Linked DNA regions of Sus scrofa. The protein of the gene in region 3 purifies or fractionates together with the protein of the main gene of each other region. This does not show direct contact. Links are inferred from orthologs where the notes say so. Each region holds a gene or a part of one and is shown on either strand. Other genes may lie near its edges. The genes, in order: ANAPC4, TRMT61B, DYRK1A, SEC16A, RB1, LZTS3 and LRCH3.

Region 1 (3,500 bases), on a different chromosome or scaffold from region 3:
TTTCTGCCAAGATTCCCAGTTCCAACATAACTCTACCAGCTACTGTATAAAGATGCTGTGACACTATATTCTGTGAAAATACTGTACTTCCAAACAGGCAGAATATTTTATTAAAGCAGAAATCTTAGTCAGGTGTTTGATGCACTTTCAAGGAAAGCCAATAGACACATTTTAAATTAGAGAAGCAATCCTACCTAAATTTCACTCTAAAGCCACCTCTTGGAATGGACAATGGGCCCTCCACGTGGCTACCGAGGTCCAAATTTTAAAGGAAAATACTAAAGGCAAAATCTAAAATAATTCTACTACAAACTGGGGTTAATGATACCTGTGAAAGAGAAGTTCCATTGTCCACCCCAAATAATCCCTTACCTTGTGTAAGCAAGTAATTCTTGATTTACTAATAAAGCAAAAGGACAGAAGTACTGCTGAAATCAGTATTTTTTCAATTAAAAGGAGTATTTCTGCCCAGCTGACTTTATGATCATCCCTAGCAACTATTATCTATCATACCTAAAGAACTAGAAAGTACAATATACACTGAAAAAAAATGAACCGTTCTGTCAGAACGACAATCTTACTAACGAGTTAGTTACCTGGTAGAGTAAGTCCCAGTGAACTGATATTCTGCAGAGTCTTCGCTGTTATACACCCCAGACAATGGCAACTGGACCAGGAGTCGATCTCTTCCTTCACGTCCTACGGTGTCTTTAAGAACTACTGTTACCGTTTCATCATCGTAAAACTGTGCATCTAAACAACTGTAGGTGCTAGAATTAAAATAAGTTTTGTTATATCAAAGATAGATCACAACTGAGGAAATACTGTATACATAACATTGCACTGGTACCAAGCAGAAAAACCGACAATAAAAACATCAAGCCACATTCCACACGGTAACATTTAAAAGATATCATTAGTTTACACTAAAGTCACAGGTATGCGTTATACTGATTATTTACAAATATTAATGGGTAATCATGAAAAAAGAAAAACCTGCGAAGTTGGCTTTCCAGAAAACTTATTTATTTATTTATTGTCTTTTGTATTTTTAGGGCCACACACACAGCATGTGGAGGTTCCCAGGCTAGGGGTCATTTCGGAGCTGTAGCCGCCGGCCTACACCACAGCCACAGCGACACGGGGATCCGAGCCGCGCCTGCGACCTACACCACAGCTCATGGCAACAACGCCGGATCCTTAACCCACTAAGTGAGGCCAGAGATTGAACCAGCAAGCTTTTGGTTCCTAGTCAGATTTGTTAACCACTGAGCCACGACGGGAACTCCCCAGAAAACTTTTTTTAAGTGATTTTAATTTTTTCCATTATAGTTGGTTTACAGTGTTCTGTCATTTTTCTACTGTACAGCAAAGGGACACAGTCACACACACAGACACACACATTCTTTTTCTCATATTATCCTCCATCATGTTAGTTCCAGAAAACTCTTGACATGAATGTTATATGAACACACACACACACACACACACACACATGCATGCACATAGTAAACAGACTTAACTAGAATGAAAAGTAAAAATAAGATTTACATATGAAAAGACACAACAACTTCAAAGACAGTAGCATAAAGAACTTCCTTTTAAGAGTGACAGAAACATCTGCTCAGGATTAGTGTCAGTTCTTTGTCTTGCAAAGCCTCGGGATGACACAGGTATTGTTACCCTGTGCACCCTAAGAAAATCCCATGGCAGTGACGGTACCACCTCACATGTCTGGTGATCATAAGAAGACTTCAGCCACCTGCCCCTGAACCACACTGCTCTCTCAGCAGACAGAGAGCTCAGAGGTATCAATTACAGGAAACCATGCTACATACACTCCTGTAGGGCAGTAAGGTTCTATTGGATTTTAAGTCAAATCATCTTCTAAGGATAAAATATGTTACCAACCCAGGCCCCTATGTTGTGAGTGACAAAGGCCTTCTAAGCACATCATCACTGTAACCGAGTCTCACCCTATTCCTGTAACTGTATTTACTATACACACGCTGCATCCAAACAACAGTCAGGAGTTACCTTCGTCTCACTTTTTCAGTTGTGGCATATGTGAAGCTCCCAAATTTAACAGCAATTAGTCCATTACTTACAGACCTTGAAGAAAGAAGGGGGAGAAAGAGACTTTGTAGGACAACATGGAGAGACAATAATCTAAATAAGCCTGAAAGAACATGACTGTCAGTGTTCGTACATTTACCTAATCACCAAATCCCAGGCCAAGACACCATGACACTCCCTCTAGAATCCCGATGCCTAATTTAAACCTAACATCAAAATTACAACTGGGTTTAAAATCTCATAGTCACCAAAGCAGCAAGACACCTTATAAAATGAAGATGTTTGAGACAACCAAATTATTTCTCTTTGGCTACATCTTGGCTTCAAAAAATTTCTGTCGAATTTAGATTTAAAAGCATTTAAGATAATAGGGACATTCTGAAGATGATTTGTCTTTCAGAACTTTTATCTGGATTCTCAAAAGAAGGTCTCTTGTTTAATGAAAGCCATACTTAACCAGAGGTAAAAATCCTTTCCTTAAGGGACTCAAAATAGAGTTTTGAACATGTACAAGTTCATGAGATGTCACCATGAGTGTTCTATTTTCTAGCCCTAAAAACAGCCTACATGCAACAGCTATACACCAAGGCAAAATTAAATAACCTAGAACTAGAAGGAATCACGTAGCTTCTTAATTTGGCATTATCACCTTAATAATGTGAAAACTAAGACTAAGAACCGTTAACAAGCCTAAAATCATAAGGTAGCTTAACTAAATGGAGGGAAGGGAAGTTATATGTTTTGTTATTAAATACAACAAAATCTTATCTCTTTGATTCAAAATTCAGATTAATACTTACTGGGAAATATCAGTATGTCTCCTTAAGATGCACATTTTATAAAGGGAATCTTCTAAAATAGTAAAAAGAAGATAATGTAGGTTTGAAGTTTTATTATTCCACCTAAGGAGAAAAATTAATGTCAAAACATGATATTTAGCTATCAATGCACAGAACAAACCCATATTGTTCGCACGAGGGAAGAGAGAAACACACACTTACAGAAAAGGAAATTTGAACAATCTCCGTGTGGAGTCCTCACTAAAACAAAAGGGAAAAAAAGGTAAGAAAAATTCCAATTGGCCACTGAATTGTATGACCCAAAAGGTAAAAAAAATTACCTTCTAGCATCTCTATATAATGGAATACATATTGCTTGATTCATTGATTTTCCAATTACATCCTAAATAAAATAAGATTTAAAAATATAATTAAAGCATGTATGTACACACAGATAAATATGCCACAGAAAGTGACTGATTGTCACTGTTTAAGTCTAGTAACAAGTCATCTGTATCACCTGACCTTCACGCAAGGAACTTTTTTTTTCTTCTTAGGGCTGCAGGTGTAGCATATGGAAGTTCCCAGGCTAGAGGTTGAATCAGAGTTGCAGCCACCAGCCTACACCAGAGCCACAGCAATGCA
Region 2 (3,500 bases), on a different chromosome or scaffold from region 3:
ACTAACTAAATGACATTGTTTCTCTTTACCTTATGTTGTCATAAGCCTTATGACACATAGGCTAGTCCATCTGAAAGTATGTATTATCTGAGGACTCCTCAGATTTTAGAGTGAGGCCAAGGGAAAAAAGCAACGTATCAAACCTTAGTCTTGGGTCATGTAGTCAGGCATGAGACATTCCAACTGTTATATAATCTAAAATCAAATAATTTTTCCTTAAAAAGAAATCCTCTCTGAACTTTACTTTTGTTATTATCACTGTTTCAGTCATCCCAGTTTAAAATCCTTAATGAAGATATAATCAGGGCTTATCAATTAATGATGTGATAAGGGCAGTGCTAATGATATGATCAATGCAAAAGATTACAGAATTAATTCTGTAGGGTGAGAGACATGGTAAAGTCTTCTCTAAGGAAGTAAGTTATGAGCTGGGCATTGACTGAATCCTGTTTTGCCCAGAGAAACAAGGGAAAGGGCTTCTGAACAGTGGATGAAAGTTTGAATATATATAGCTTCACTCCCTCTCCATCCAATCAACCATCAGCTTGTCTGGTCCTTCCTTCACAATATTTTTTTACATCTGCCCCCTTTCCACACCTCCTTGTTGTATATTACTACCAATCACTTCATAGCTGTACACTATGTATTACTATGAAGTTTCTGATCTAATAGTTTTTCCCTTCCTTTAAATACTCAGATACCACCAACAGACTAACTTTTAAAAAATACCTCCTTTTACATGATCATGGAAACTTTCAGAAGTTCCCTACTGACTCTGACATATAAAGTTCAAACTCAAGGTCTTCCAGAAATCCACAAGCTATGTACTAAAATTTCCCCCTAGAACAACCAAGTCAACAGATGAAACAACATCTGATCCAGTGTAGACTCTGAGCCATTGTAAATTTTACTGACCATTTATTGAGTGAAAAAGTCAGGCTCTCTGGGAGTTCCCATGGTGGCACAATGGTAACGAACCTGACTAGCATCCATGAGGTTGTAGGTTTGATCCCTGGCTTTGATCAGTGGGTTAAGGATTCTGCATTGCTGTGGGCTGTGGTATAGGTTGCAGATGCGGCTCAGATCCCATGTTGCTGTGACTGTGGCATAGGCAGGCAGCAACAGCTCTGATTTAACCCCTAGCCTGGGAACTTCCATGTGCTGAGGGTGTGGTGTGGCCCTAAAAGACAAAAAAAAAAAAAAAAAAAAAAAAAAAGTCAGTGCCTCTGGAAGTTACTGGGAATACAGCTTTGACTCAATCACAGATCTCTTGGAGTTTATATTATGGTAAATGAGAGCCAGACATGAACATAGAAAGTTAACTTTAGAAGAAGGCATCTGTCCCACAAGCCAGATTGTAAACATGCTTAGTATTCAGTGGAGAGATGGATAAAGGGCTTAACCTGGACTTTGATAACTATATAAATAAATGTTTATTTGCCTATGTAGTTTGGTTTTCAACTCAGTATTAGAAATGGACACTGTTAGGTTTTATTCAATGCAACATCTACAAAGCACAGTGTACTGAACACAAACTTTTCTATGTGAAATAGGAGAAGGCACAACCTTTCTTTGCTCTGCAGCCAACCCCTTTTCCAGGGCCTGCATTCAAAAAAGATAAATGAAGGGCAGAATTTCACTAGCAGTTAAATAGAAGAAAGGGGAGTATTCCATGATGGAATTTTAAAATGTGAGAGCTTCTATATGTCTAGAAATGTCATGAAAATTTTAAAGCCATTATTGTTGTATGAGTGTTCAGATATTTTATAGGAATGGTACCAGAAGACTACCCTACTTATGATTCAATCAGTTTTAGTTTTATATTTGTGTGGTTATTTAATGTCTAGCTATGCTATAAGCTGTAAAAAGGCAGAGATTTTAGATGAAATTTTTCCACATAGTGAAAAATATGTACAGTGTTAGTTAGAATACATGTATTATTTTAAATACTCCTAGTCTAAGGGGTAAGTAGCATTTACCCTCCCAGGTACTACTACTTCAAAACTGTAAAACATCTATATTTAAATAATAACTATAAGCTTTTGTTAATCTGTAAAACATGGATAACCTTAAGGATGAGCTATACATATTAAATGAAAAGACATTATAAACTTCTTAAAACAATGTAAGGTAAATGTTAAACTGGTGCCTATGAATACTCATAAGCCCTAGTCCTATTTAATTCATATTTATAAAGTGTATCTTTCCAAACATTCAATTTCTATAACAATAGAATAATTCTGATGTTCTTTCAAATTGTTAAAATGAGGCTGAGAAGAATAAAAGATTCAAGAATTGTTACTTTTTTGTTATAATTTTTAAGACAGTTATATCATTCTTATCAATTTTCTCCCTATTATTTACTATAACCCAGATTTGTTATTTTTTAAGATACATACAAGCCATTAAAATATGTATTTAAAATACACAGGTACATAAAATTTATCTTAAAGTGCATATTTTATTTTGGTAGCCAATGACCATCAATCAAACAAAGAAAAGAAAACTAATTTCATGAAGAAAGACAAATCTATGGAGTGGTTTACAGGAAGTGAAGAATGAGATGGCTCAACTAAACCAACTTGGAATCATTAACTACAAAATGTCTAACTGCAAGACAAGTGTCAAAATGGGACATTTAAGGAGTTTTGAAATGTTACACATCTTTCTTGAGCTTTTGTTACTTTTTCAAGATTACATGTAAAAGTTACACAAATCATAGTAATAGCTAAAAATACCAACCTACAAAAGTAGTGATTTGTAATATAAAGTTTTATTTTAATATATATCTGTCTTCAAATCAGTTGTCATCTGAGGTACTCAGTTAAGTTGTGGTTTGCACTTCCTCAACTTGACAAGAAAGGCTAGTTTAAGGAGAGAAAAAAGTAAGGTCATTACAATAATGGGAGAAAACACCATATAATACAGCCTGAAAAACATTACTCACCCGTATGACCAGTTTGCCAGTGTATAGGTCTAGCAATATAGGGAAATGATCCATAGGGAAAATCACAAGGTGATTCTTCTGTTATAGAACAAAATATGTGTTGTAAGCTACATAAAATATTTTATAGTTTGTTCACAACACTGTTAAAAAAAATTACTGTGAGAAGTTTTTTTCTTTCAGACTTTTTTTAAGTACTTATTTTGGAGCTACTCTGAAAGTTATCTTACAGAAACTTGATTAAGGATTACATGATAAACTTCTGTATGCTTTTATGGTCAAACGGATAAACCCATATCATAAGTCAATGAATGTCTGAATGCCTAAATAATGTGTACATACAACAAGGACCTAAACTTAGTTCTTTGAAAAGTTCCCCCAGCATCTTAGAAGCTGCTTTTTGGAATATTAGCTATTTACATGTCACATCCTATTAAAATTCTTTCCATTCAGTGATAATCACTGATCTAAATTTAAAACATTCTTTAGGAGTTCCTGTCATGGTTCCTGTCAGGAACCATGAGGTTGTGGGTTCGACCCCTGCCCTTGCTCAGTG
Region 3 (4,011 bases):
CCTCGCACGCTTCCTCCTCATCTTTAAATCAATGTGAAAACAATGCTATAAGGTGGATTTTCGGACAACCTGGGCGGAGTGGTGCTGGCATTCAAGGACTGCACCTCGATTACAAGATCCAGCCCTATCATCTAGGGTTGGACGGCAGGCACAGGGAAGGAGTCAGAGTCACTCACTAATTCTGCCATTTTTAGCTACTTCAGACCCGGCAGGGGCCTTCGGCTGAGCGCTGAGCTGTTCAGCAGCTCCGGTGGGTCTAAGCGGGAGTGGGTTTGTGCCTATTAACAGACTTGCGAAGTTTTGTGGCAGTATGCAGGTATCCGTCCCAATTTACGCATCCTCAGCCACCAACTCCTCCGCCCGCTAAGCAGGTCATTCCTCCACGTCCAGGGGCCGGGCTCCCTCGCACTCACGGCACAACTTCGGAGCACGCCGAGGGCCCTGGCTCCAGCCCACGCCCCAAGGGCCGCGCGGGGACCGGGCGCCCGACCTTCCCCGACGCCTCGCCCAGCAGCCAGCCCCATTTTCTTAACCCGTGCATTGTCCTTGCGGAGAACCCCGGCCGTTCCCACACTGGTGGGGACCGAGAGGAGGGACGAGGGAGGAGCTGGGGGAAGAGGATGAGGAGGAAGAGGAGGAGGAGGAGGAAGACAACCTCCTCCCCTTCGCTCGGGCGACCAGTGAAGGTCTGGCGCTTTCTCCGGCCCCCAGGCCCCGGCTCCCGGGAGGCCGCGGCCTCGGCTCCCACCCTCGGCAACTTTCCCTCCGCTCGCACCCGCCTCTCCTCCGGGACCGGGCCCGTCGGGCTCCCTCCCCCGGCGGCCAGCCCCGGGCCGCGGCGCCTCCTCCTAAAATGGCAGGTCCCTCCCTCCGCCCGGCCGGCCTCGGCGCGGGCCCGGCTGCAGGCCGCGGGGGGAGCCGGGCGCCGGGCAGGGCCGGGCGGGGCCGCGGCCAGGCCGGACACTCACCGGGACGATGGCGGGGCGCTCGCGCCGCTTCCTCCGGTGAGTCTCAGCCTTGGGCTCCCGCCGCTGCGCTCCCGCCGGGGCCTCCGCAGCCAGCGCCGCCCCGGCCGCCTCTCTCCGCCCCCGGCGCTCCCGGCTCCGCGGCCGAGCCGCAGCCTTCTCAGTCTCTCTCCGGCTCGCGGTTCCAGCGGCGCCCGGGGCCGGGGAGGCGACAGCCCCCTCCCCGGCAAATACCGCAGTCCCCGGACCCCGACTCCCGGCGGCGGGGCCGCGCGGCCCGGCCCGGCGCGGAGGGCGGCGGCGGCGAGGCCGGGCGCCGAGTCGCGGCTGCTCCCGGCGGCTTCTTCCCGAGGAGGATTTTGTAAATCTCACAAAATGGCGCGCGCTCCAAACCTGCGCAGCGAGAAGCGCCGGGGCCCGAGCGGCGGCGGCGGCGGCGGCGGCGGCTCCTCCGCCAGGAGAGCCAGAACCGCCCGCACAGACAGACAGACACTCACACACACTCACACACACACACACGCACGCACACTCGCACACGCTCACTCACACACACACTCTCACACTCACACCGGTCCCGCCCGCTCGCCGGCGGCGGCAGCGGCACCAACAGCAGCAGCAGGAACAGCAGCAGCAGAAGCGGCGGCGGCGGCGGCGCCCGCACCCCCCGCTCGGGGTGTCCGCTCCCTGAGCCCGACCTGGGCCGCGATCAGCAGCAGCGACGGCAGCAGTCTCCCCGGATCCCCCCGCCGCTCTTGCCGCCGCCACCCCCGCCTCACTCCAATGGGGCTTTTTATTATTATTCGGGCGGGAAGCGAAAGGGTTTAAAAAAAAACCAACCAACAAAATGGCGACGGACCGACCCGGTCGCTATAGCAACTGTCAATCAAAACGCAAAACCCCGGCTGACGTGCTGACGTCCTCCTCCCGCCCCCCGGCCCCAAGCCGGCGGGCGGGGCCTGTTGCTCGGGCAACGGCAGATTCCGTTCCCTCCTTTCCCTCTCCCCCTCCGTCCCCAACCAACCACCCAACCCCCTCAGGTCACGTGAAGGATAAATTCGGAGCTCAGGCCCGCTACGAGTGTCAGAGGAGGGCGCGTGATTCGCTCGGGGGAGGGGAGAGGAGGGGGACGGCCGGGCCGAGGGAGGGAGAGGGCGGAGGAAGGGGGGCGAGGCGGCGGCCGGCCTGTGCTCCAGCGCCCAGGGCCTCCCGGCCGCGCCCCGCCCCGCGCCCGCCGCGCCCGCGCCGCCCGCGCCGACTGCGGCCCGGAGAGCGCGCGCGGCCTCCGCGCCGCCGCCCCCGGAGCCCCGCGCTTCCGCGTCGTGCGCCCGCAGCCCCGCCCGCGCCGGGGGGAGGGGGCCGGGCTCTGCGGCCGCGCGGGGACCCAGGAAGCCCACTCCGGTGCGCCCGCGCTGGGGACTCTCACCTGCATCCCCGGGGACCGCGCCGGCAGCGCACGTCCGCGCGTTTAAACTGTTCTTGGAAGGCCCCGCGTGCCCCCCTCGCCGGAAAATGCCCACGGAGGCCGCGGTGGGGGGTGGGGAAGAGGCCGCCTCCGCGTTTCAGACATCTCAGGAATTCCGGACGCTTCGCCCGAATCCGGGATGCCCCTGCGGCTGACACCTTGATTAAATCATGTCACTCGGCTTTTTGCTGCGGCCAGTGCCAGCGTTCAGAAATCATGGACGGAGCCATCATACAAACTTTTTTAGGCTGTGCATGCTCAGCCGGGCTTTCCCACCGATTTCAAACCCCTCCCCACCTTTCAGGCAGTCTTCCTTCTCCATCGGAATGCCCCTAAAATTAATCGTCTTAGGCTATACCGTATCGTTGTCCAACTCCCTGATTTTCTTTCTCATGCACCATTTCAGTTTCCAGATTTTTAATTCGCCCACAATTCTTGATTAATAGTCTCGCTTTCGTTTATCTTTATTCTGTCTACCCCTCTGGCTGGCTGAATATTACTAGGTGTTCTCTCTCGGCATTGAAACCTAGGTATGGAAGTAGCCATGCTGTACTGGCTACTTTGTAATCAGTAGACAGCCACTGGCTAAAAATTGTATTTTGTACCATTCCTAGTAAAATGGCATTTAATCTTTGCCAAAAAGGATACTATGGATATTATTTTACACCAAGTCCCTAATTTATTGATTGATTTCTAAGCTTGATTTTGCCATCTTATGATAGTGTTCGTATCAATTTTGTCTTAAGCTTGGACTGTTCACAAGTAAAGCAGCAGCAGATACCAGTAAAGAAAAACAACCCCACAGTAAATACTGAGCTCAATCCTCTATGACTCAAGGAAAGACACGAGTGTTTCCAATAAATGTTTCTCTTCTCTGGCTACTGGAACCTTGATTTACTAAGGCATCCATTGAAATTAGCACAGACCGTGAAAGAAAACAGACTAAACTTTAGATAAATTAGGCAAAAAGTAGGCCAATAGCTTAGACCGATTCTCATGGTATCACAAACTGCCATGACTATCAAGAGTTTTTTTGGACTTTCAAAATTGCCCTGCTAATGTAATTAAAGTCCACATTCAACTTGATTGTTTTCTGGTGGGGGGGAGTTAGGGTGGTGGTTTAATTTCCAGTTTATTTTCTGTTAAATTAACTACAACCTGGATTTACATTGCATCATCTTAAACAGGAGGAAGTGGCCAAAAGCGTCCCTGCTGGGGTAAGAGGCTGATATCTTGACGGCTCCCCAGCTTACACTGCCACCTCCTCCCTCCTGCTTCTTTCTCTTCTCCCTGCTCCCCACCCCCATCCTGTTCAGGCAGTTTCACTTCTCTCAGGACCCTTAAGCATTTGCAACCTTTAACACCAAGTTAAATTTGAGTCCGTTTTTTTTAATATATATTTTTATTATTTTTAAGAATTATTTCCCCCAATATAATTTTTTTCTACTGTACAGCATGGTGACCCAGTTACACATACATGTACACATTCTATTTTCTCACATTATCATGCTCCATCATAAGTGACTGGACATAGTTCCCAGTGCTACACTGCAGGATCTCATTGCTAATCCATTCCAAAGGCAA
Region 4 (3,500 bases), on a different chromosome or scaffold from region 3:
GAAGGAAGTGGCCGCTCTGCTGGCTCCCCGGCCTCGGCGCGGGCGAGCAGGGCGCGCGGAATGTCAGCCCCTGCGTGACCTGCTCAGGGTCAAGGGACCCCGTCTCCTCCACAGTTTGCCGTTTTTCAAGTTTGCGACCAACGAAGCCATTCAGAGGACAGAGGCCTACGAGTACGCCCAGTCCCTGGGGACACAGGCCTGCTCCTTACCCAGCTTCCAGGTGGGTGGGGACCGCGGGGCGCCAGCTCCCAGGTGGGCCAGGGCTCTGTGCGGACCAGCTGCAGAGCCCGAGGCTGTGGTCTCTCCTAGAAAACGAGGCGGCGATTTTGGAAACCTCGAGGCGTTTGCTTTTGATACTCGAGAACTAAAGCCTGTTGAATTGAGTTTGAACTTTGGTTCTCAACATCTTGAACATTAGAAACATTTGGGGAGGAGTTCCCACCGTGGCGCAGCAGCAACGAATCCAACTAGGAACCGTGCGGTTGCGCTTCGCTCCCAGGCCTTGCTCAGTGGGTTGGGATCTGGAGCTGCGGTGGCTGTGGCGGAGGCCGGCAGCTGCAGCTCCAATTCAGCCCCTCGCCTGGGAACCTCCACGTGCCGCAGGCGCGGCCCTAAAAAGCAAAAATCCCCCAGAAAACACAAAAACATTTAGGGGAGTCCCTGTTGTGGCTGAATAGGTTAAGACCCCAACTAGTGTCCGTTAGGACGCAGGTTCCACCCCTGGCCTCGCTCAGTGGGTTAAGGATCCGGTGTTGCTGTGGCTGTGGTGGAGGCCGGCAGTTGTAGCTCCAGTCGGACCCCTAGCCTGGGAACCTCCATGTGCGCGGGTGCGGCCCTAAAAGCAAAAAAAAATAAGTAGCTCCAGGCACGAGCACTGGCATTGCTGTGGGCAGCGAGGGGGCGCCAGGAGAGACATGACGTGTTCAGAGCCGCGTCAGCCTGCAGGGTGGTCACGGGGCGAGGCGGGGCCCGGGAGGAGGCAGTGTCCCTGACTCGGTCCGTCCGTCCGTCCGTCCGCTCAGGTGTTCAAGTTCATCTACTCCTGCCGCCTGGCCGAGATGGGGCTGGCCACGCAGGCCTTCCATTACTGCGAGCTGATCGCCAAGAGCATCCTGGCGCAGCCCCACGGACACTCCCCGGTGCTGGTCAGCCAGCTGGTCCAGGTAACGCCAGCGACGTCAGAGCCGCGCTGACACTGCGGCGGGGGGGGGGGTCAGTGGGGGCTCGGGACAGACGTCATGACAGCACTGAGACAGTGTCCCCGCGGGCACATGCCAGCCGTGTCCCGGTGACACAGGGACCCACCTCCGGGGAGCGCGTCCCCGGCACCTCAGCCTGGCAGTTCCCGCGGGGGCCCCTGCTGCCCGGCAGCCCGGCTGTGGGTCCCGCTGGGCCCTCGCTCCGTGGGACAAGGCGGTGTGCCGGCCCCCAGCCTGGGGCCGCGGCCGTGGGGCCCTCCCCACCAGGACGCTCACTTTTGAGAGCGAGCTTGCGTGAGGCCAGAAAGAGCTTCCGTCATGGAGGGTGTTAGACACACACAAGACGCCAACGAGGACGGGTCCCCGTCACGGCCCCAGCTTTAGCCGTGAACTCGAGGCCTAGCTCGTCTCCCCCATGTCCCCCTCTCCTCAGCCCCTCAGGCCGCAGGGCGCTCGGGGTGGTCAGTGGAGGAAGGAGGCCGAGTGAGGCGGGCCCGCCCCCTTGGGTCCGGGTGCCCGGGCTTCAGGTGGCCGGTCCCGGGCCAGGCTCTTCCTGGGCCGTGTCACGGGAGCGCCTTTCAGAGACGCTTCCGCATCTTCCGTCTGCACCCCCAGCTTGGCTCTGCAGACTCCTTTGCTCTGGAGCAGCAGGTCCTAGAACCTTCCCGTGGGAACAGGCCTTCATCTCTCGTGTGTTTCCAGGTCGCCTCCCAGCTGCGCCTCTTTGACCCTCAGCTGAAAGAGAAGCCAGAGGAGGAGGCGCTGGCGGAACCCGCCTGGCTGGTGCGGCTGCAGCGCTTGGAGAAGCAGGCCAAGGTGCCAGCTGCTTCGCGGTGGGGCTCGACCTGCCCTCGTGCTGGGGCTGGTGGGGGAGGGAGAGGCTCTGGGGCCACCGAGGGGGGCGGGCGGGGCGCAGGGCGGCATCCGGAGGCAGGACGGCTGAGGTGTGTCTTCCGCAGGAGGGCACCGTGGCCTGGAGTCAGGACGGGGCCTTCCCGCAGTGCGGTCCCAGCTCACCCAGCTCCGAGGCGGGGCCCTGCGATGGTCCAGCAGTCGCCCAGCCAGCAGATCTGGGCACTGCCAACCCTCTGCTGGCACCCCCTGTGCCCGGTGCGGAGCACTTAAGCCAGGACGTGCGGCTGATGCCCTCCGGTGAGCCACTCCGGGTCCTGGCCGCTCTCAGGCCGCCCCCTCTCCGGTCCCTCCCGTGCTGCGTCCACTGGGTGTCAACGGCATCAGGGGTCGGGACGGGCCGGGGGTGGGAGGCCTCTCAGACCTGGAGGTGGAGGAGGGCAGGGGAGGCCTCAGTGCGGGCAGAGCCAGCCCCGGCTCAGAGGCTGCTGGGGGGTTGTGTCAGGGCCGCTCCGAGGCCCAGGGCCCCCCCGTCCCTCAGCGAAGGAAGGATGTCCGGCAGAAGCACCGGGCACTCGTGACCTCAGACCTGCTCTTGCTTTGTCTCCATGCAGCTCCGCTGTTGCTCCCCGAGGGCCCGCTGGCTGTCCCCGCCAAGGGGCCAGTGTTCCCGGTGCCGCCTGCCCTGGGCCCTGCTGAGCTGGGGCCTGGCTGCGGGCCCTCGGGCTGTGCACTGGGCTTTCCAGAGCCCCCGGGACCTGACCCTGCAGCTCTGTACCCAGGGCCCGGCCAGCCGCCTGCCGCACCGTCTCTCCAGGAGGCCCGCAGCCAGGACCCAGGTGGGTCCGCCCCGGGGCCGGCCTGAGCGCGGAGCTCTTCGGGTCTGGTGTCTGAGGCGGTGGCTGCGGGAAAAGACCTCGCTGCCTTGAACGTGGGGCACAGGGCGCTAAGCGTACGCCCAGCGTTCGGGACGTGACTTGAAGATGAGTGACCCGGCTTTTTGTGGGGCATGACGTGGGAGTGGGTGCCCAGGGCGTGGCCTTGAGGGGCCAGCCTGCAGCCCTTGAGGACACACAGGAGGCTGTGACCCTGCTCCCGGAAAGCGGCTCCTGACCCCGGGCTGCGCGGCTGACTGTCCGCTCGGCCAGCCTGGTGTTGGCAATGAAACTGTCTTCGCACACTTGGGGGCATCTGAGACGTGCGGGGGTGTGGAGGGCGGGCCGTGTGTGTCTCCGGTGCCGCCCGCTGCTCCGGGGGCCTGGCTCACACGGGTTCTCGCCTCCTCCACAGGAGGGACGCCGCAGGGGGCGCCCGGGAGAAGCGCGTTTCCAGAGCTGGAAGAGGATTCCGGTGGGACGTTCGCTGCCGTGGTACTTGCCCGTGTTTAGAAAGCTTCTTGTTTTCCTGCGCTCCCTCGCAGAAGTACTCAAGTTCTTTGCTCTTGAGTGT
Region 5 (3,500 bases), on a different chromosome or scaffold from region 3:
ACAAAATAAGTAAATCCTCTCTCTCATCACTTCTATTCACCACTGTATTGGAGAGTCTAGCCAGAAAAATTTGGCAAATAAATGAAATAAAAGGGCATCTAGATTTAAAAGGAAGCAGTAAAATGACCTCAATTCATAGATGATAGGATTTGATATACTGAAAATCTTAAGGAATCCACTAAAAAACTATTAGAACTGATAAACGGCTTCAGCAAGGTTGCAGGATACAAGATCAACAGACAGAAATCAATTGTATTTCTATACACTTGTAATGAAAAATCTTACAGAGAACTGAGGAAACAAGTCTACAACAGAGTTAACAGGGAATAAAATCCTTTTTTAAAAAGTGCAAGACTTGTACTCTGAAAACTATAAATCATTGTTGAAAGAAATTCAAGATCTAAGTGAATGGAAAGACATTACATGTTCATGAACTATAAGACAATGTTAAGACAACAGTACTACTAAATTGATCTAGGATTAAAAGCAATCCCTATCAAAATTCCAGCTGGCTTCTTTGCAGAAATTGACAAGCTGATCCTAAAATTCACATGCAGGAGTTCCCATCATGGCGCAGTGGTTAACGAATCCGACTAGGAACCGTGAGGTTGGGGGTTCAATCCCTGGCCTTGCTCAGTGGGTTAAGGATCCGGCATTGCCGTGAGCTGTGGTGTAGGTCGAAGACTCGGCTCGGATCCCACGTTGCTGTGGCTGTGGCATAGGCTGGTGGCTACAGCTCTGATTCGACCCCTAACCTGGGAACCTCCATGTGCCGCAGGAGCGGCCCAAGAAATGGCAAAAAGACAAAAAAAGACCAAAAAAAAAAAAAAAAGGAAAAGAAATCAGTTACAGAGCTAACAAGTAAGGGGGAGAAGAGAAGATGTGCATAATTTTCTCACCTGGTCCAAATGCCTGTCTCTCATGAGTTCACACTCATTTTGCAGTGTGTGCTGGAAAAGGGTCCAGATGATATGCTCTAGTTCTGGGTGATCAGACAGAAGGCGTGCACACAGGGTATTGAGTCGAAGATATGCTAGTCGGTACACTGGAGAAATAAGGAGAATCAATCATATCTATTCTCGACTTATCACAAGTGGACTTTTTCAAAACATGAAATTGCTATAATCAAAATGCTGTTAAACAGCATTTTAACATTAAATTCATCTCTACCACTATTTCCCTTATGAATAAATGGTTTCTAGTCTTAGTGCCATGCTATATACATAGAAGGCAAATTATTACAGCATAAAACTGAGGCATAGGTGGAAGAAGAAAGATCCTAAGATATTGTGAAATCAGACCCAAAGAGGGTTTGTTTCAGTTCCACTGGTAATCCCTCATCACAAAAAATGTTGAAAATTCTATCAATATTCAAAAAGGATTCTTTTCCCTCTTCTTAGAGTTTCTGATTGAGTAATTCTAAGGTGGGGCTCCAAAAAAAAATCCTTCCTACAATTTACCAGGTGAGGTGGATTCAGCTGGTTGGGGACAACACTTTGGAAACACTGCTCTATCTTGCCTATGAAGCTCAGTATATTGCTGACTTGAATAAAATCAGAAAAAAAAAAGGTTTATCACAGAGGAATCTGACCTTTCACCTTCCTTCAAAGAGCTCCAAGCGGGCATGCACTTGCATGTATATACACATCCAACAGACACCAAATCACCTCCCCGCCCCGTCGCAACCCACACGCAAACTGAGAATGCCATGCCACTGGGCCACCCAGAAATGCAATGCACCAGGCCACAGCACACTGTATAATCTCAACTCACACACCTGAACAGCAAAAGTCATGATAACAGCAAATATTTCCAAACATAAACTTGAAAGTATAGCAGCAATAGCAACAATAACAACATCTAACACTTTCTGAGTGCTTACTATGTGCAAGGCACTGTTGGAAGTATTTTATGTATTAATTCATTTAATTACCTCAAAACTCATAGGGTACATTATTATTATTTCCATCTTATGGAAGAGGAAACTGTGGCACAAAGACATTCAGTGACTTTTCCAAAGTCATGCTTACTAAGCAGAAGTGCCAAGATTTGAATCTAGTCAGCCTGGTTTCAGAGTCCATACTCTTCAAGTTAACATCTACTGACCTTTTTTGTAAAAGAGTGAAAGGGAGGTAGATTTCAGTGGCTTCTGAGTCTGGAAGGTTGAGGTTGCTTGTGCCTCTGAATTTGCAGTAGAATTTACACGTGTAGTTGACCCTTTTTTCTTGGGGGATCTTAAAGGAGAAAGATACCTGGATATATTCAAAGGAAAAGTCTTCATTTGAAGTTTGCTAAGAATCTCCATCACTTTCTGTCTCTCTCTCTCTCTCACACACACACACACACACACACACACACACACACACACACACACACACACACACACACGGCTGTAGACATGCATCCAAACACATCTTGTCTATTTAATCTGTTATTCTACACCAAATTCCTACTTAAATATAAGTTGGAAAAAGGAGCTTAATAGGAAAACTAAGCTTGTCATCATTTCTAATTTTATTTTAATAAATGGCTTCTAGTGGGAATTCCTACCTTATTGAAAACCACAGCTGTATGTGTTTATATGTTCGATTTTAATAATTATAGTGTATAGTGTATAGATGTAAAATGACTCCTAATTAAAATAATAAGCCATTGATATCAAAATATCAATTTCTCTGATTCTTTGTTTAAAAATGTTTCATTTATAACTATGGTCCACATATAGAAGACTTAAGTTACACACACATATGCCTTCCTAAATTACCTAGTATAGAATTACATGACTAATATTTCAGATAGCATTATTAAAGCAGATTTACACCTGTATACTAAATATGTCAGGCATAAATCAAGGCAGAGATATTAGGAAGTACTCTCTCTCAACTTCTGACTTTCTACTGCTCTGTGCTATATTTATTTTAGAGGGAAACTCCAGATCTACTTTCTAAATTTTTTTTTTTAGTAACAGAAGTAATTCTGAGCAGGAAGTAGACGTGCGCCTTACTACAGACGTTTCTACCACAGGCAATCCATTACCTAGTGCAGCAGGAAAGGGGAATCACCATCACGACCGTCTAAGGATCAGGATCTAGTCTCCCGTCACACTTGCAATTCTCCTCAATTCGCTACCAATACTGTAGACTGACTTGACTTGGGTAGAAGTTAATCTCCCTTGAATTCCGGGTGAAAATATTCACTTACTTACTAGACTTCAGATTTGAGAAGGCCAAAATGGAATTCTTGATTTTCCCTCCATTTTTCCCATTTCAAAAAATGGCTCCACATTACATCCAGTTTATTAAGTCACTCTAGGAGCTATTTTTAATTTCTTTCCTTTTCTCAATCTTCAAGGCCAATGCAAAAGAAAGTTCTATTAAATCTTCCTCTAAAATACACCCCAGATCTGTCCACTTCTTTCTCTCTCTACTAACATTTCTTAGATCAAGTCATTTACATTTCTCACTTGGACTATTCCAATTGTCTCCAAACTGGTCTTATTT
Region 6 (4,219 bases), on a different chromosome or scaffold from region 3:
ATCTGTGCCCCTCCTAAAGCTAGGAACACTCACCCTTCTCTTGGGGTCTCAGAGGCCCCAAGCTCAGCCCACTCAACCCCTAAAGATCTCACCAGCCCCTCCTGCCAGCATCCTTGCTGGGGGCTTCTCACTCACATTTCTTCCTCTGCACTCCCTCCCCTGTGCAGCTGCTGAGGGACACTTTCTAAAGGGCAAAGCCGTTGTCCCTGCTCTGCCCGAATTCTTCCATGAACAGCACCAAGTGCAGTAGACAGAGTTATGGAGGCATCAGCTCCAAGTGTAAATCCCAGCTCAACTGATTAGAGGTGGAACTGCATGCAGGTTATTCCACCTCAGATTCTCACACCTACATTACAGGAATGTTAAGAAGTGAATGTATTATGGGTAAATGCCTGGCATTCCTCTCAACCCTCAGAACCAAGGTAGAGCTTGCAGCAGAGCCCCCAAGGCCTCTCCTGCTGCTCATCCTATGTCCCCTGACCTGAACCCATCTCACTCCATGCACAAAATCTGTTCTCAGCTCCCTGTGCCCATTCTGCATCTTTCAAGGACCAATCCAGATGCTGCCTCCCAGGACAGCATTCCTGATCTCCCCTGCGGGAAGAGGTCTTAAAGCACTTGGCTCAGGCTACTCCAAGATTTCATTCTGAGGCATCTCCAGGGCTGGACTGTGGGTGCCCCCGCAGGGAAACAGACAACAGAGTGTTGGGGTCTTTAGGCCCTGGCACTGAGGAGATGCAGAGAATGCATGTGGGAAGGCCAGTTATGAGCAATGCAAAGAGGCAATGAATCCGGACGGGAACATCAGGAAGGGCTTCTGGGAAGGACTGAGGGAGAAAAGGTATCGGGGTCACAGTAGGGCTTTGAGGGTGCAGAGGTCTCCAGAACTTCTTGGTTGGGATGTGTGAAGGGAGATCCATCTTCCCTTGGCGACAAAGGGGGAAGGGATCCATCCCTTAGATCCTGGCTCTGATGAAACCCGTGCTTCAGGACTGAGGGGGCTGACAGCGCCCCCACACACACCCCGAGGACACACGCGCGCACACACGAGCCTCCTGCACGGGGGGTGGTGTGGGGGGGTGCACGCCATTCACCAGCAGCCCGCGGCCCGCAGAGCCAACAGAGACCAGGGCCCCAGGCCATCCCGAGGAGGTGCCCGGGGAAGGGTCTCTGCAGTGGTTGAAATCCCTCCGGCACCTCCCGGTGCTCCCCACCAACGCGTGTGGCCCGGGGGGCGGGGCGCAGAGGGAAGAGGTGACATAATCCGGGCCGCACCCCCTCCGGCCGCCACCATCCCCCAGGCCCTGCGAAGCATCCATGACATCATCGGCCTCATCTCCACTCCCCTCACCCCGGGGACCCCCAGCAGTGGGACGCACCCCCTCCCCAGCTCCAGGTCTGACTCAACGAGCCTCGCGGTGCAGCGGGCACAGCGACAGGTCGGAGCTGCAAGGAGCGCCGCGGAGGGCCTGCCTCACTTACTCGCTGCCTCAGGGTCCGGTGCGGGGTCTTCAGCACGGGCGCCACCGGCCCCGCTCGCTGGCGCAGCCAGAAGCCCGCCCGGCGGGGCGCGAGGCGCGGGCCCGGCTCGGCTCCGCGCCCCTCCCGCTCCCCGCCCGGGCCCCGCCCACCCGTGGCTGCGGCAAACGCGGGCCCGCCCTCCGGCCACGCCCCCCGAGCCCGCCAATCCCCGGTCTGAGGCGGGGCGAAATGCCTTAACCCCTTCGTCGCTGCATACCGGTCCGCGTATGGGACCCTCTATTTCACCCACCCTAGGGCTCCGCGAATCTGCACCGAGACTCCCTGCTGATACCTTATTGACCCCCAAGGCCCTTGGACTCAGCCCCCAGTCTCTCCTCTTCAACAAATCCAGTAGGACAGCGCCTTCCCTGAACCTCACTTCTTTGGCGACAAGGAGAAACCCTCTGGCTTGGGAAAGGGACTCTAGACGCCAAGCCCCGAGCTCCAGTTCGCCCCCGCTCCTGCTCTTCCGGGCGCGGCCTCCCAGCGGACGCCGTAAGACCCTGCAAATCTGCAAGGTGGGGGCGGGGCGAGCCGTGGCGCGTGGAACCAACACGGCGCAAGGAATATCCGCTCCGGCGCCGGGACAAGCAGGTTTGAGGGGAAAAGAAGGCTTCGATGGTCCGTGACTGCGTCCGTCCCCAATTGGAGCCGGCTTGAAACTTGCTTCTCGCCAAGGATCACAGTCCGGAGGAAAAGGCGGGGGACGGGGAAAAAGATATAACATTACAATCGAGCAGAGAGTTTGAGTGCTTCACCCAGTGGCCGGAACCTGGCACGATGCCCGGCCCCTCGCAGTGAAAGGGAGTTGGGGGGATGCTCCAATACGGAGCACCGGCTTCGCTTGCCGGGAATGAGAGAGGACTGCTCATTCCCCCCCAGGTGGCCTGGGAGTACTGCCGGGAGGAAGAAATCTGTCTGGAACTGAAGCCTTAGCCTTGACTAGGGCAGGCAAGCAAGCCACGCCTAGGGTTCAGCATTAAGAAAAGCCTGGAGGCACTAAGGGTCTGTCTGAAAAACTGCAGCGTCTCCACTTGGGCTGGTATTTAACCCATTGTAGCTTTACTGTTACAGATTTATTCGTTTTGTCATTAGTCATCTCATTTTATAGTTTTAATTTGCGGCTATTGCCTGTGTTTTGAATTTTTCTATATTTGCTTTTATCTCCCATAGTGACTTGCAAGGCAGAAAATCTGTTTTTAATTCTCCTGGTTGTTGCCTTATAGTTTATCAAATAAAAATGCGGTTTATATTTGACAAATTATTAAAGTCAATAAGTCATTCATTTTTATGTTCCTCCTTATATAATGAGTAATTTAATATACCTATACCTTTCCATCTCTTGGCCTGATATCCTCACACTTTTTTTTCTTAGGGCCGAACTTGCAGCATATGGAGGTTCCCAGGCTAGGGTAGACCCGGAGCTCCAGCTGCTGGCATACGCTACAGCCACACCAGATCCAAGCATCGACTGTGACCTACACCCAGCTCATGGCAATGCTGTATCCCTAACCCACTGAGCAAGGCCAGGGATTGAACCCACATCTTTGTGGATACTAGTCTAATTCTTAACCCACTGAACCACAGTGAGAACTCCTCACTTGACTGATTTTTAAGGAGAACTCCAGGATGTTATGTTTTTCTAAGTCTTTGCTCTAGATGAGAATTTTGTAATGGCTTTACACATTTGTGTGTCTACACACAAATGGTGGCTTCACTGTTAATAGAATTCTTCAATCTCAGACTTTTCCTCTCAAGATTCTCTTATCCTTATCTCATTGTCTTTTGGCTCTTAAGATGGTAGCAAGTACACCTGAAACTAATAGAATGTTATCTGTCAATTATAGCTCACCCAACACCCCCAGGAAAGGTAGCAAAGCTGGGCTGGCCTCTGTTCGACAAGTAGTTCACCTGATGCTTGTTGGGATTTTTCTTTTTTTTTTTTTTTTTTGGTCTTTTTGCCTTTTCTAGGGCCGCTCCTACGGCATATGGAGGTTCCCAGGTCAGGGGTCTAATCGGAGCTGCCGGCCTACGCCAGAGCCACAGCAACTCGGGATCTGAGCCACGTCTGCAACCTACACCACAGCTCATGGCAACACCAGATCCTTAACCCACTGAGCAAGACCAGGGATCGAACCCGCAACCTCATGGTTCCTAGTTGGATTCGTTAACCACTGAGCCACAATGGGAACTCCCTTGGCATTTTTCTTTACGTTCAAAAGTCAAACATTGCCAGTATAAGTTTCAGTATAGACATTTTTCTATTACTTATCCAGAAATAAAAAAGGTATTATTTTCAGCTGAGATGTTTTCTATTTTCCTGTCCATTCTGTTGACAGATTGTTTGGATTTTTTTCCTCCCCTAAAATATTATTACATTGGATCATCACTGTCAATTAAATCTCTTTGTCCCTTTTCTCTGCATTCTGAAAGAGTATCTCAATTTTTTTTCCCCCTTGGCCACAAATACAGCTGGCATGTGGATGTTCCCCAGCCAGGGATGGGATCTAGCCACAGTTTCAGCCTGTCCCATAGCTGTGGCAATGCCGGATCCTTAAAATGATGTGCCAAACAGGAATTTCCAATTTTTTTTCTTTTTTGGTCTTTTTGTATTTTTAGGGCTGCACCCACGGCATGTGGAGGTTCCCAAGCTAGGGGTCTAATCAGAGCTACAGCTGCTCGCCTACACCACAGCCAC
Region 7 (3,500 bases), about 67 Mb from region 3:
ATAATCCAAGGTAATTTCAGGGAAAAAAAAAAACAAAGTAATATAAGCAAAAAAGTAAGCTTGATTTAGAGGCAACTATAGAGGCTGTAAAATGTTTATAAAAGCAGTATTAACATGGGTTATTAACTGGGTAGGCGTGGAGAAAACAGAAAGGAAAGAATCAAAGATGACTGTAAAGTACTAAGCCTGTGAACCTTTCAAATTGTTGGTATTCACTAGAAATAAGAAAGTCAGAGACAGGTTCCGATAACAATAGTTTATACTTGCATGGTGCTTTACAGCTTACAAAGCACTTCCATTTTCATGATGCACTGGAGATTGAGAAAATGGCAGCTGGACAGTAAAGTGATATGTCTAATGACAGGTTGCTAATGAAGAGCAAGAGACTATCACTGTCCTAAAAGCAAGATCAATCACTTCTGATTGTCCTCAAGCCTATCTGCATACGAGGACATCTAATCCACAAGCAGGAGACAGTTATACTATTTAGTTAAGGTTTCTCAATTAAAACATCAACTTTTTTTTCACTAAGACAATAAAAACTGACAGCCTCAGCGAAACAAATAAGCACTTCCAAGAAACTTTAGGAATATTATTCATTGAATCTAAAGGACTCACCTTGACAAAGTCCAAGACGGCATCTCTCTGAATCTGCTTGGTCCTTATTTTCTCCTCCTCATACTGCAGGGCAGCAAGCTGTGCCTCTCTCCTAGTACGTTCTACTAACTGTTCTCTTCTTCGATGAAGTTCTAAGTCTGTATGTGAAAACTGGAACAAAAGTATCATTTTGCATATGCAAGTAGGGATAAAGAGCAGCTTATCAATGTTCTTTATCAATTTGGGAAATTACTGCTGACCCAAGCAACTTTTACTTCACAGTTATCTAGCATTTCTTTAGATGTGTTTACTGCTAATCTTTTCCTATAAAACCATCGTATCGGTAAAGACTTATTTTCTGTCTGGCACCTAAATCACTGTTAGCAAGTGTCAGGTGCACATATTATATGAATTGTATGACTGAGGAGTGAGAGAGTGAAATTAATAGATATTTGGCAATTAACTGTAATTTAAGTATTATAAAAGAAGAACACCATCTTAAAGAAAAAACCCTAAACTAAAACTGAAAAAAATATTTTTACCTGATTGTGACTTGGTGATAGTGACAAGAGAGAAGATGGCTCAACTGGAACCCTGACCCAAAAAAGATAAAAAGGAAAGAAAACACTCTGATAAGACAGATAAAAGACAAGTAGAATTTTATTGTTAATATAGCTCTCTATTAATCAGCAGGCAAACTGGTCAGCACTGAAAGGCCAGTTACGTTTTGTAAACTTGAGCCAAGGTCATTAAATTAAGCTAGGGGAACACCTGATGTCTCCAACTCACATTTCATCCTCAAGCTACAGACAGCTAACAACTGTCTATGTCAGCCAGCGCTGACAATACAGTTATTTGAGATCACTTTTCAAAGACTATCATTTCTCTATAGCACACAGAACTTTAATCTTCTTTACTATTATGACTGAAACAAGATACATGTAAATAGAGATGGTTTTATATACAAAGCCATTTTATCAACAGAAATCTGGAATACTATACAACCTGGTAACTGCGCCTGTAGGCACTCCTATTCCCATTTTAACTGAAGAGCAATTTTAATAACAAAAATAAAGATTTTGCTAATTTTTATCTTTAGAGAAAAATATGAAACCTGATTTTATTTTTTTTTTAAAAACAGTAAAACCTGCTACTCAGTTCTATCAGGTTATTTCCTATACTTCGGTGTTTATCTTTTTCCTGAATTGGATTTAGTTTTAAGCCTCTGTTACTCATCTGTGTCTTGTAAACTAATAATTTTGGAGCAATGACTTCTTGACATTTAGAACCTAAAATTTTTAACTATGATTATTAGCCTGTCAGGTTGATCTAAATGCATTAAATTAGTAAGTTATTAGGGAAATGAAAACAAATCCCTCAAAGATCCAGTGGTTTATTATTTTCTAATAACAATAATACAAATTCTTTAACCTGGTGTTCAGGACTCTCACTCCATTTAATAAATATATCCACTACGAAATCTTTTCTTTAGCAAGATCTCTTCAGTTACCATGTGTAAATTCCTTGCTTCAAACTTTTTCCAAAGACCCAACCGAGAGAGATCTTCCTGGAAAAGGTCTTTTTTATTTTATTATTTTTTATTTTTTTGCTTTGTTGGACCACACCCAAAGTATATAGAGGTTCCCAGACTAGGGGTCAAATTGGAACTACAGCAGCCGGCCTACACCACAGCCACAGCAATGCAGGATCTGAGCCGTGTCTGGGACCTACACCACAGCTCATGGCCATGCCAGATCCTTAATCCACTGAGCAGGGCCAGGGACTAAACCCAAAACCTCATCTAACTTCCTAGTCAGATTCATTTCCACTGTGCCACAATGGGAAATCCAAAAAGGTCTCGTTTAGAATTTTATTTTTCTGTAAAATTGGGACTTTTTCCCTTGATGTACACATGTAATCAATACTTGCATATATAAACTCACTTGTATCATTTTTTGAACAATATTTTTCAGAGGCACAAAGAAACTAACATTCCTTGAGCTATTACCATGTACTACATACACATACCCTGTAAATTACTTTATAAACATGCGTAGTATTTCTCAATTACCCTTTACAACAAGAGAAAACTATTATAACCCTTATTCTACAGTTGAAAAGCTGAGGCATGAAAGTTAAGTAACTTTCCCAAGGTGACAAAGCCAGCAAGTTATAGAGTTGAAGTTGAAATATCTATTTGATTTACCCTCCTCAACTACTAGGTGTGCAGCTATGTGAACTGGGAGAGACCTCAGAAATTGTGGAGTCCAAGCCACTAATTTTACAAATGAGAAAACCGAGGCTCTCAGAGGTTAAGTGATAGCTACTTACTGGCAGAGCCTGGATTAGAATTCAAGCTACTTGACTTGCAGTTTAGTGCTTTCTACTATACAACATTTCCCCACTCTACAGCCACAGAATCTAGGAAGGAAAAAGGGAAAGCACAGAGATTTAAAAATACGTGGGCATAGGAGTTCCTGTCGTGGCGCAGTGGTTAACAAATCTGACTAGGAACCATGAGGTTGCGGGTTCCCTGCCCTTATTCAGTGGGTTAACAATCTGGCGTTGCTGTGAGCTGTGGTGTAGGTCACAGACGTGGCTCGGATCCCGAGTTGCTGTGGCATAGGCCAGAGGCTACAGCTCCGATTCGACCCCTAGCCTGGGAACCTCCATATGCCGAGGGAGTGGCCCAAGAAATAGCAAAAAGACAAAAAAAAAAAAAAAAACATGGGTATACATTAAAAAAAAAAAATTACCTGAGATGGCAAAAACTAAGCTGTGAAAAGTTAAAGATGGAAGCAAAGGAAGAAGCAGGGCATATGAGAGAAAGAAAGTGGTAGTCAGGAAGACATTTCTGAACTGACAGTTGCCCCCAGCCAATCACCGGTGGTATGTTGGCCCAT

What was found.
Region 1: the proteins of DYRK1A (region 3) and ANAPC4 purify together in Homo sapiens (affinity purification with mass spectrometry; 3 studies listed by BioGRID and IntAct, with this or other methods). This does not show direct contact. The link is inferred for Sus scrofa from reciprocal best matches to the Homo sapiens genes DYRK1A and ANAPC4.
Region 2: the proteins of DYRK1A (region 3) and TRMT61B purify together in Homo sapiens (affinity purification with mass spectrometry, with the first as the bait; 3 studies listed by BioGRID). This does not show direct contact. The link is inferred for Sus scrofa from reciprocal best matches to the Homo sapiens genes DYRK1A and TRMT61B.
Region 4: the proteins of DYRK1A (region 3) and SEC16A purify together in Homo sapiens (affinity purification with mass spectrometry, with the first as the bait; 3 studies listed by BioGRID). This does not show direct contact. The link is inferred for Sus scrofa from reciprocal best matches to the Homo sapiens genes DYRK1A and SEC16A.
Region 5: the proteins of DYRK1A (region 3) and RB1 purify together in Homo sapiens (affinity purification with mass spectrometry; 4 studies listed by BioGRID and IntAct, with this or other methods). This does not show direct contact. The link is inferred for Sus scrofa from reciprocal best matches to the Homo sapiens genes DYRK1A and RB1.
Region 6: the proteins of DYRK1A (region 3) and LZTS3 purify together in Homo sapiens (affinity purification with mass spectrometry; 3 studies listed by BioGRID and IntAct, with this or other methods). This does not show direct contact. The link is inferred for Sus scrofa from reciprocal best matches to the Homo sapiens genes DYRK1A and LZTS3.
Region 7: the proteins of DYRK1A (region 3) and LRCH3 purify together in Homo sapiens (affinity purification with mass spectrometry; 3 studies listed by BioGRID and IntAct, counting the BioPlex papers as one, with this or other methods). This does not show direct contact. The link is inferred for Sus scrofa from reciprocal best matches to the Homo sapiens genes DYRK1A and LRCH3.

Annotation. Positions count from the first base shown.
Region 1 is NC_010450.4:19,335,753-19,339,252, reverse strand, and holds part of ANAPC4 (anaphase-promoting complex subunit 4), read right to left. Parts: intron 3,259-3,500; coding exon 3,197-3,258; intron 3,117-3,196; coding exon 3,078-3,116; intron 2,979-3,077; coding exon 2,877-2,978; intron 2,113-2,876; coding exon 2,038-2,112; intron 771-2,037; coding exon 597-770; intron 1-596. UniProt on the Homo sapiens protein: Component of the anaphase promoting complex/cyclosome (APC/C), a cell cycle-regulated E3 ubiquitin ligase that controls progression through mitosis and the G1 phase of the cell cycle.
Region 2 is NC_010445.4:110,396,923-110,400,422, reverse strand, and holds the end of TRMT61B (tRNA (adenine(58)-N(1))-methyltransferase, mitochondrial), read right to left. Parts: intron 3,026-3,500; coding exon 2,948-3,025; intron 2,865-2,947; coding exon 2,821-2,864; 3' UTR 2,563-2,820; coding exon of another isoform or gene 2,474-2,562; 3' UTR 151-2,473; downstream 1-150. Other genes in the region: SPDYA (speedy protein A), read left to right, coding at 2,474-2,562.
Region 3 is NC_010455.5:201,007,295-201,011,305, reverse strand, and holds the start of DYRK1A (dual specificity tyrosine-phosphorylation-regulated kinase 1A), read right to left. Parts: upstream 2,801-4,011; 5' UTR 2,389-2,800; intron 1,088-2,388; exon of another isoform or gene 969-1,087; intron 703-968; exon of another isoform or gene 414-702; intron 1-413. UniProt on the Homo sapiens protein: Dual-specificity kinase which possesses both serine/threonine and tyrosine kinase activities. Exhibits a substrate preference for proline at position P+1 and arginine at position P-3.
Region 4 is NW_018084833.1:1,281,649-1,285,148, forward strand, and holds part of SEC16A (protein transport protein Sec16A), read left to right. Parts: intron 1-114; coding exon 115-220; intron 221-1,022; coding exon 1,023-1,163; intron 1,164-1,901; coding exon 1,902-2,015; intron 2,016-2,158; coding exon 2,159-2,351; intron 2,352-2,665; coding exon 2,666-2,890; intron 2,891-3,341; coding exon 3,342-3,421; intron 3,422-3,500. UniProt on the Homo sapiens protein: Acts as a molecular scaffold that plays a key role in the organization of the endoplasmic reticulum exit sites (ERES), also known as transitional endoplasmic reticulum (tER).
Region 5 is NC_010453.5:19,199,136-19,202,635, forward strand, and holds part of RB1 (retinoblastoma-associated protein), read right to left. Parts: intron 2,253-3,500; coding exon of another isoform or gene 2,235-2,252; coding exon 2,107-2,234; intron 1,046-2,106; coding exon 900-1,045; intron 1-899. UniProt on the Homo sapiens protein: Tumor suppressor that is a key regulator of the G1/S transition of the cell cycle. The hypophosphorylated form binds transcription regulators of the E2F family, preventing transcription of E2F-responsive genes.
Region 6 is NC_010459.5:32,506,093-32,510,311, reverse strand, and holds the start of LZTS3 (leucine zipper putative tumor suppressor 3), read right to left. Parts: upstream 2,801-4,219; 5' UTR 1,483-2,800; intron 1,425-1,482; exon of another isoform or gene 1-1,424. UniProt on the Homo sapiens protein: May be involved in promoting the maturation of dendritic spines, probably via regulating SIPA1L1 levels at the postsynaptic density of synapses.
Region 7 is NC_010455.5:134,500,079-134,503,578, reverse strand, and holds part of LRCH3 (leucine-rich repeat and calponin homology domain-containing protein 3), read right to left. Parts: intron 1,192-3,500; coding exon 1,140-1,191; intron 769-1,139; coding exon 619-768; intron 1-618. UniProt on the Homo sapiens protein: As part of the DISP complex, may regulate the association of septins with actin and thereby regulate the actin cytoskeleton.